2 linked regions of the Oryzias latipes genome follow. The protein of the gene in region 2 purifies or fractionates together with the protein of the main gene of each other region. This does not show direct contact. Links are inferred from orthologs where the notes say so. Each region holds a gene or a part of one and is shown on either strand. Other genes may lie near its edges.

Region 1 (3,658 bases), about 4.5 Mb from region 2:
TTGAATTAAATTCATTCAACCTAGTTTCTTATATCTATCCAACTCAAATTTACATATTTATCCAACTAAATGTCATTTTACTCCAATTCAATTAAATGTTTTTCATCTTAATTTATTGTACTTCTTGAACTCTCATATGTCTAAGTTTGAGGCAGCAGATTTTCTCATTTTCATCAAATTAAAATAAATGATACAGTGTGGATTTACAACATGAAGCATAGCTTCATTACAATGACTTTTACAGTAACTTAGTTCTTATTCCATACTGATACACTAGTGATGCTATAGAAACTCACCATCCTCTCCCTCCCTCTCACTCATGGTGCAGACAGAATTAAACATAACAGGCCAAATAACTAGACAAAACACAGTAAAACCGCTAAACAACTAAACACAATTGGTTAAAAAACCTAAATCTGTCCCGAAAGGGAAAGGTATCCCACAATCCTTTGCAGTGCCGATCTAACAGCAGCACCAAAGTTACAACTACTTAATTGAATTATTTTGAATGAAAGTAAAATAACTGTCTGAAAACTACGTGTTATTTTTAAGCTGACTTAACTAAAAAAAGATTTCTTAACTGAGCCAAATAATTAAGTTAGATCAAGGTAAAAAGTTTCTCTTTCCAACATCCATATGTGGTCTTATCATCCTCTCATGGTGGAAAAAGTATTATCTGAGCTTCTTCATCCACTAAATCATCTTCAAATGGACACGCCATGCTGCTTCACCTCTCTGAAAACAAACTAACCTTCAACTAAACCTGCTCCAGACCAGGTTATGTTCAGAGCATCAGTTGCTATGGCAACTTGACAAACCCTGAAACATACCTCTGTTTTTTGGAACTGAAAGCTGAGGTTATCAACTTCCTTAGCTTCAAACTTACCGTGGGAGCTAGCATAACCTGCTTTCTGGAAACCCCCCCAGGTCAAGCCGACAGGCGACCGCTCACCTTCAGCTCAGGCGTTTCAACCTCGTCTTTTATTAAAGGTTTGGAGGCGGTTTTGTCCTCGGAGCTGTCGGCTTCCTTCTTCTCTTCTTCCACGAGACTTTCCAGAACTGTAGGCGGAGCTAAAAAAGCACGATGTTGACATTTATTACAGGCCTAAATATGAAAGCAGTTGCTTTCGAAGTGTCAGCAGGTTTTCCCGCACAGATCCTCACCCGTGTCGGCGCTGTCCGGCAGGTCCGAGCTCCTGCTGTTGGAGTCTGGGCTGTCAGCGGCGGGGAAGACGCTTTTCCAGCGGCTCTTCTTCAGCAGGACGCCTCGGGACCCAGCGGCTTCCTGGCTGGCCTCTGAACACGGGCTGGAGCCTCCGGCGCTCACGTCGCCCTCCTCCAGCGCCCGCAGTTCCGCCTGAGGGGCAGGTGAGAAACCCGTTCAGGTTGAGCCGTAAAAACAGTCGTTTTCACTCAGAAGGTGGGGAAATTATGGGATGCTCGTCACGCTGTATGAATGTACCAACATCCACGGCTCACATCCAGATCCTCTTTAGATTCATTTTCAATAGTTTACCCTCAGGTTCCTGCTTAGACGGTTGGATTTTCAAATGACAACTATTTTAAAAATGAACAGAAAACCTTCAGATCCTTAAAGGTCCATGGGATAAGAATGTCAGCAGATAACTTTCAGTTTGTGAATTAATTTTAAATATAACAACAATAAAAGAAAATTTCATTAAAAAAAAACTCTTACATGCATTATTTTCTATTTTTTTTTTCATGTTAAGAAAACAATTGTAATTGTTCTTTAAGTTCAGTAAATCTGTTTTCCAGAGATTTTTTTGTCTGAAGCTTAACTTTAAAAAGTATTCTTTGATCAGTAAAACATTCAAACTTTAAAACAATTATTTACCTGATAAGATCAGAAAAAAGAAGAAATATACCTTAAAAAAACATCACATGACCACAGACCAGCAAGTTATAAAAACATCCACGGTGACACAGAATTACATTTGTTAAGGCCCGTACACACCGGGACGAATATTCGCCAGCCGTTATTCGCCAGCGTTTTTCGCCACGTTTTTTGTGTTCACACCCAGGCGATTTTCGCTGACGATGAGCCGAGTGAACATGCAATTTCATTCCCTGACATTAGATGGCGCTTAATGTAAAACCGAAATACTCCTGTACACAAGGTGGCGCTGCGCAACTTTACGCTTCTTAAAGTCGCTTTTCACTCAGAAGAAGAGAGCAAGTATTTACGCGCTTGTCAGAATCAAACAAAGAAAACATGAATATTTCAAGCATCAGTAGCTCCAACTGGTGCTTGGTTCGGGGATATTTTAGAATGTCCGTCATTATTTCTTCGCTGCTGTGTAGACGCTACTTGGCGTCTAACTTCTTCGCTGGTATGTGTGCTCAGCAAGGCAGTTTTGTTTGAGCGCCCCCAAGTTGTGTTTTACTGTAACTTCAGAAGCTCCAGACACGTGAGCAAAAGCGCCGTTCTCATTGGTCGAGTAGATTTCGACGCGACGAGAAAAAAAAAACGAACCCGAGGCGGTTTTTTTTTTTGACGCTTTAACGCCTGGCGTTTTTTCGCGTCGGTGTGCACACTCTCATTGGGGCCCTTTGTTTAGTCACGAGGCGTTAAACATCGGCGAAAATCGCCGGCGAAATTCGTCCCGGTGTGAACAGGCCTTTATGTCTTTCAGCCATTTTATTAATGTGTATTGCTGTAGAATAAAAACTAGTATTGTTTAGTATTATTTACTTTAACTCAGCTAATTGCAGCTTTGATTGGATTTTCTTCTAAATTCTTCAACTAATTTTAAACTTTTCCATTTTCCCTTTGACTCTTTTCATTAAGCTGTCAGCGTTGATGTGCGTTTAACAGAAATAAAACTCAAATGAGAGTCCTGGTTCTACTGTGACCCGGACCCGTCTACGACCCACCTTCTTCCTCTCTAGAGCGAGTTCCAGCTCCATCGTGTCCTCCTCAGCCGCATCGTCAGCTTCTGCGTTTTCTCCCAATGTTTTCTTTATGGCGAGATCTTTCTGGGCGGCGGGGGTGGAGTCTGACTCCCGGAGGGGTGTGGAGGGAGATCCTACCGGCTTCTGAGCTTCGTCTGGATCCAAACTGTTTTCTGGTTCGTCCAAACCTTTGAGCAGTTTTTTCCTCCACTTCTCTTCAGCTTCTTTCACTTCCGACGGGATTAGAGGAGCGAGGAGAGAGGCAGCCACTCCTTTGTGCTCCTCCTCTTCGTTTGTGAGGGCCACGACGCTCTCCATGACCTCCTGTTGGACAGAAAACACCTCAGAGGAGCAGCTCTCCAGGAACAGACCAGCAGATTCAAGTTTGAGTGAACTTCAACCAAACTGGCCTTTGATTTGGTCTCTTTCACAGCTGGGGGGGCGGCTGTTGGAGCCACGTACGCAGCATGCGCTGTGTCTTTGCCGTTGACACTAGAAAAACAAAGATTTCAGAACGATGTTTCAGAACAGCGTCATTTCCTAATGTTGGTCCAAAGAGCTGAGATCTTCTCACCTGTTGGAATATTGACCCAGGCTCTGCACCTGGTCAGCCAGATAATGCGGCAGCTCCCAGGAAACCTCGTTGGTCAGAGTGTTCCAGTAATAATAGCAGCCAGAGTTCTCGTCCCAAACCTCCTGCCAGTCTCCCATCTCAACTCCCACTGAGACAAACAAACAAAAAAAA
Region 2 (3,658 bases):
GGCCACCGGGTGTCCCTGTTCTTAATTGGATCAAAGTAAAAAAAGAGGCCCAGTAGTTAGAGTGGGACACCTGGCAAGTCATTTAGTCACTAGTTTGAACTTAGACAAGCACATTTTGAGTCAACTCATTGTGGTACCCTTGAGCAAGGCACTTGACCCAAAAGCCACCTGAGGTAACAATGAGATCATGAACAGGATGGTCTTGAAAAACTGAATTTTGCAAACTCCAGAAGAGGCCAAAGAGGTCTCAATAGATCGTCCTTTTATAGATGTATAAAAAAGTATGTTTTATAAAAGTGCAATACTAAAACCTTGTAACAATAAGCTTCTGTCATTTAAACAGATGCGTGTATTATAAGAAAATGAGCCATACGCGACTAGACATATGACACTTTTTCCTCATTCATTGTGTTTTTTCCTCCTTTAAGTTTCACTAAAGACCTGACATGAGGAAGGAAAGGGTCGATTCTGTGATTCTCCCAGGTCACTGAAGGTCACTTACTTGACGGGCAGGTTGGGGGGGGAGCGCGGCTTCATCTTTTCCTCTTCTTTCTTGTCTCTGGGGTCTCGAGGAGGACGCATCCTCGGCCGCTCCTTGTCGTCGCGTTTGATCCGGTCCCTCTCCCACTCTTCTTTCCGCTTCATCCTCTCCTTCTCACGCTCCCGCTCTCGTTCCCGCTCCCTTTCCCGCTGTCGGCGTTCCCGCTCACGGTGGTCTCTCTCCCGCTCTCTGTGACGCTCCCGAAGTTCCCGCTCGCGTTCGCGCTCCTGGAAAAAAGAAAGAAAAGAGGAAAATGTCAACTGATAATCCTTTCACCAATAGGAACTAGAGGTAAGATCGGGCCTGAAAAATCCAGCCCGACCCGACACAGGCCCGCGGGCATTAAAGCCGAACCCGGCCAGAACCCGACCAATTAACTTGATTTGCAGGTCCGAGCCTGAAGTAAACCCGAAATTTCAATTCATCCCATAGTTTTTTGGCAGAAAAAAAACGCAAGATTTAAGGTTAAAATAATCTACATATTTTTATGATCATGATAAATGCATTTGCACAATGAAATAACGCTTGAACACAGAATAAGAGGCCAGACAAAGAGAGTGAAAGAGAGATCTTGACGCGCACTCGCTTAATGCGGAGAAATACTGCAGCCGCGGCGGTGAGTGTTTGTCTTTTCAGCTCTCCTGTCTTAAGTGTATCCTTGACTTCATGCTGCTCCATATCGGGGATACTTAAACAAAATAGATGCGGACTTGCGGAGGGAAAATTACATTCACGACACGTTCATTCACGTGTGCAGAGCTGCGGGTGGCCGGCGCCCCCCTCTTTCTGCTAGTTACAGTGTATGTCAATCAACGGTGGGGTGGTGACTGGGGGGCGGGGTCTACCTGTGTGTGTGTGTGTGTGTGTGTTCCGTGAACGTTCTCCCTCTGAGTAAGAAGAAGCTGGCTGTGCCTTTCGGTTCGTGCGGTAACCGTTCTGTGGTACAGGATTAATAAAGAGCTGTTTGACAACCGCCTGCTTAAGGAGCTTCTTTGCAGCCATTACAATATTTTTTTTTTAAAAGTCAGCGAGAGAGAAGCCAGGCCCGAACCGACCCGAACGTAATGATTGTCATTTAGTGCCTGACCCGAAGATCTTACCTCTAATAGGAACCCATGGTGACAGTGTAAAAGAAAAATATCAGAAATGGATTCAGCGGTCCACTAGGTTTTACACAAGTTTATTTTTAGGAAAAATTGGTCTGGGTTTTTATGGGTTAAAGTCACTCCGCTAAACAAATAGTTACTTTCAGAAGTATTCATTATTCAGGGTTCCTACAGGCTTCTTCAAGTTATATTTATGACTTTTTAAGACCTAGCATTTGAAAAATTAACAGAATAATTTGATGAATTACAATTCAAATTTCAGTAATAAATATCAATTACTAGACCGGACTAGGTCACCGATTGGATTAATATTTGGGACTTCTTTTTTTACCGTTATCCTTTCTTCGTAACACACAACACGAATGCGTGCACCCAACACACTTCCGCTTTTAGAGGAATACTCAAAGATGCGTGAATGGATCAAAAGTACCGCTTTGGGGTTGTTTTTTGTGATGAATTAACCTTATAATACACTTAAAAGCTAAAAAAGTTGATTTTGCATGGTATAAGTCTGCACTGAAAATAACAAAAAGGCAAATTTCAGCGGCTAAACACTGGATATAAACCGACAAGAATGAACAACATCGGAGTTTATTGTCATTACGCGCACACATAATGACATTTGTGTTGAAGTGCTTGGTTTAACATGTAAAATCAAGTAAAGACTAAAAGCGATAGCAGCATCAAACCCAAATGTGTTATGAGAACAGAAAACCAAACAATTATTTTCTTGATCTGATCAAATTCCAGCTTTTTAGAAGTCAGAGGTGGATACTCACAGTGAAGTGGTAAGGAATGGGGGCTTCAGTGTACTGCACTCTGAAGTTTTCATAATGGCCCCCGCGCCACAAAGCTTCCATTTCATAGTCATAGTAGGGGTCAGCGTAGGGGTCGCTGCAGAGAAAAACATCAATGAGAAACTGCTGCCAACTGCAAACTGATTCCTACAAATCTTCAAGACTAAAACTCCAGGACATTTTTAAAAGCAGCCTGTTCATTATTGTCAAAAGAGCAAAAAAATGTATTTTGTTCATTTCTATTCAATCGTTCTACAAAACAAAAATGAGAACATCTTACCAAATATTTATGGCTTCTGCTTATTTTCAGAAAACTTCCACTTAAAACAGCTAAAGATTTGGATCCTGCGGAAATCTACTTATTTACCTGAAAGCTTTTCAATATTGTTTTAAAAGCCAATACCAAAATGGAGTGAATGGATGGATAAATAGAATTTATGCAGACATTTTTTTTTTTAATTTCACTAACGAATCTATTTTGCTCACAGCCAATTGTCAGACAAGCAGAACTAAACTTCTATTTTGTTTAGACAGAACGCATTCTAACTTGTATATGAATGAATTCCAGTCAATCCCGTCATTCCTTCCTTCCTTCCAGCTACATGCTGAAATTAGGATATTCCCATTTTTTCCTGTATTTTTTTCCAACACGAAGATTCCCTCAGATCTCCTCGCTCCATTTCCATCATCAGGCTGCCAATTCTTTTGCAACTGATAAGTTGCTGTGTTGTCGTACTGGTTTTATTGTTTTTATCTCTCTATATTTAATTCTGTGTTTTAAGATGTTTTAGTGTTAGTTTTCTTCATTTCTCGTGTTCAGCACTTTGTGTCGGCTGCTGTTGATTGAAAGTTCTATTTAAATAGAGATGAGATGAAGTTGAAAATAATGGATGCAATCAAACAGTTTTCTTCAAAAGATCAGAGGAAAAAACAAAAACAACCAATAAGTTCATCTAATGGTTTCAATGCAACCAAGTCCTGAATTGACACAAATTTGAAAGATTTTAATTTTTTAAAGCTCAGTAGCTCTGTGCAAAAGTTTTTCTTTTTTTTTTTTTTGATAAAATATGTGAACTTGTTGGTTTTTTTTTTGTTATTGTGTTGTATAAATGTTGGAAAATGTGCTGGTGGAAAACAAAACTGACCTTTGAAATAAAATAAAGTGAAAAAACCTTTAAAAAGTTCTTGACGGCTGATGACTCCTGACATGATAG

Evidence for each region.
Region 1: the proteins of zc3h18 (region 2) and fnbp4 purify together in Homo sapiens (affinity purification with mass spectrometry; 3 studies listed by BioGRID and IntAct, counting the BioPlex papers as one, with this or other methods). This does not show direct contact. The link is inferred for Oryzias latipes from reciprocal best matches to the Homo sapiens genes ZC3H18 and FNBP4.

Annotation. Positions count from the first base shown.
Region 1 is NC_019864.2:31,062,149-31,065,806, reverse strand, and holds part of fnbp4 (formin-binding protein 4), read right to left. Parts: intron 3,636-3,658; coding exon 3,488-3,635; intron 3,406-3,487; coding exon 3,324-3,405; intron 3,238-3,323; coding exon 2,896-3,237; intron 1,358-2,895; coding exon 1,165-1,357; intron 1,072-1,164; coding exon 953-1,071; intron 1-952.
Region 2 is NC_019864.2:26,610,652-26,614,309, reverse strand, and holds part of zc3h18 (zinc finger CCCH domain-containing protein 18), read right to left. Parts: intron 2,542-3,658; coding exon 2,427-2,541; intron 769-2,426; coding exon 503-768; intron 1-502.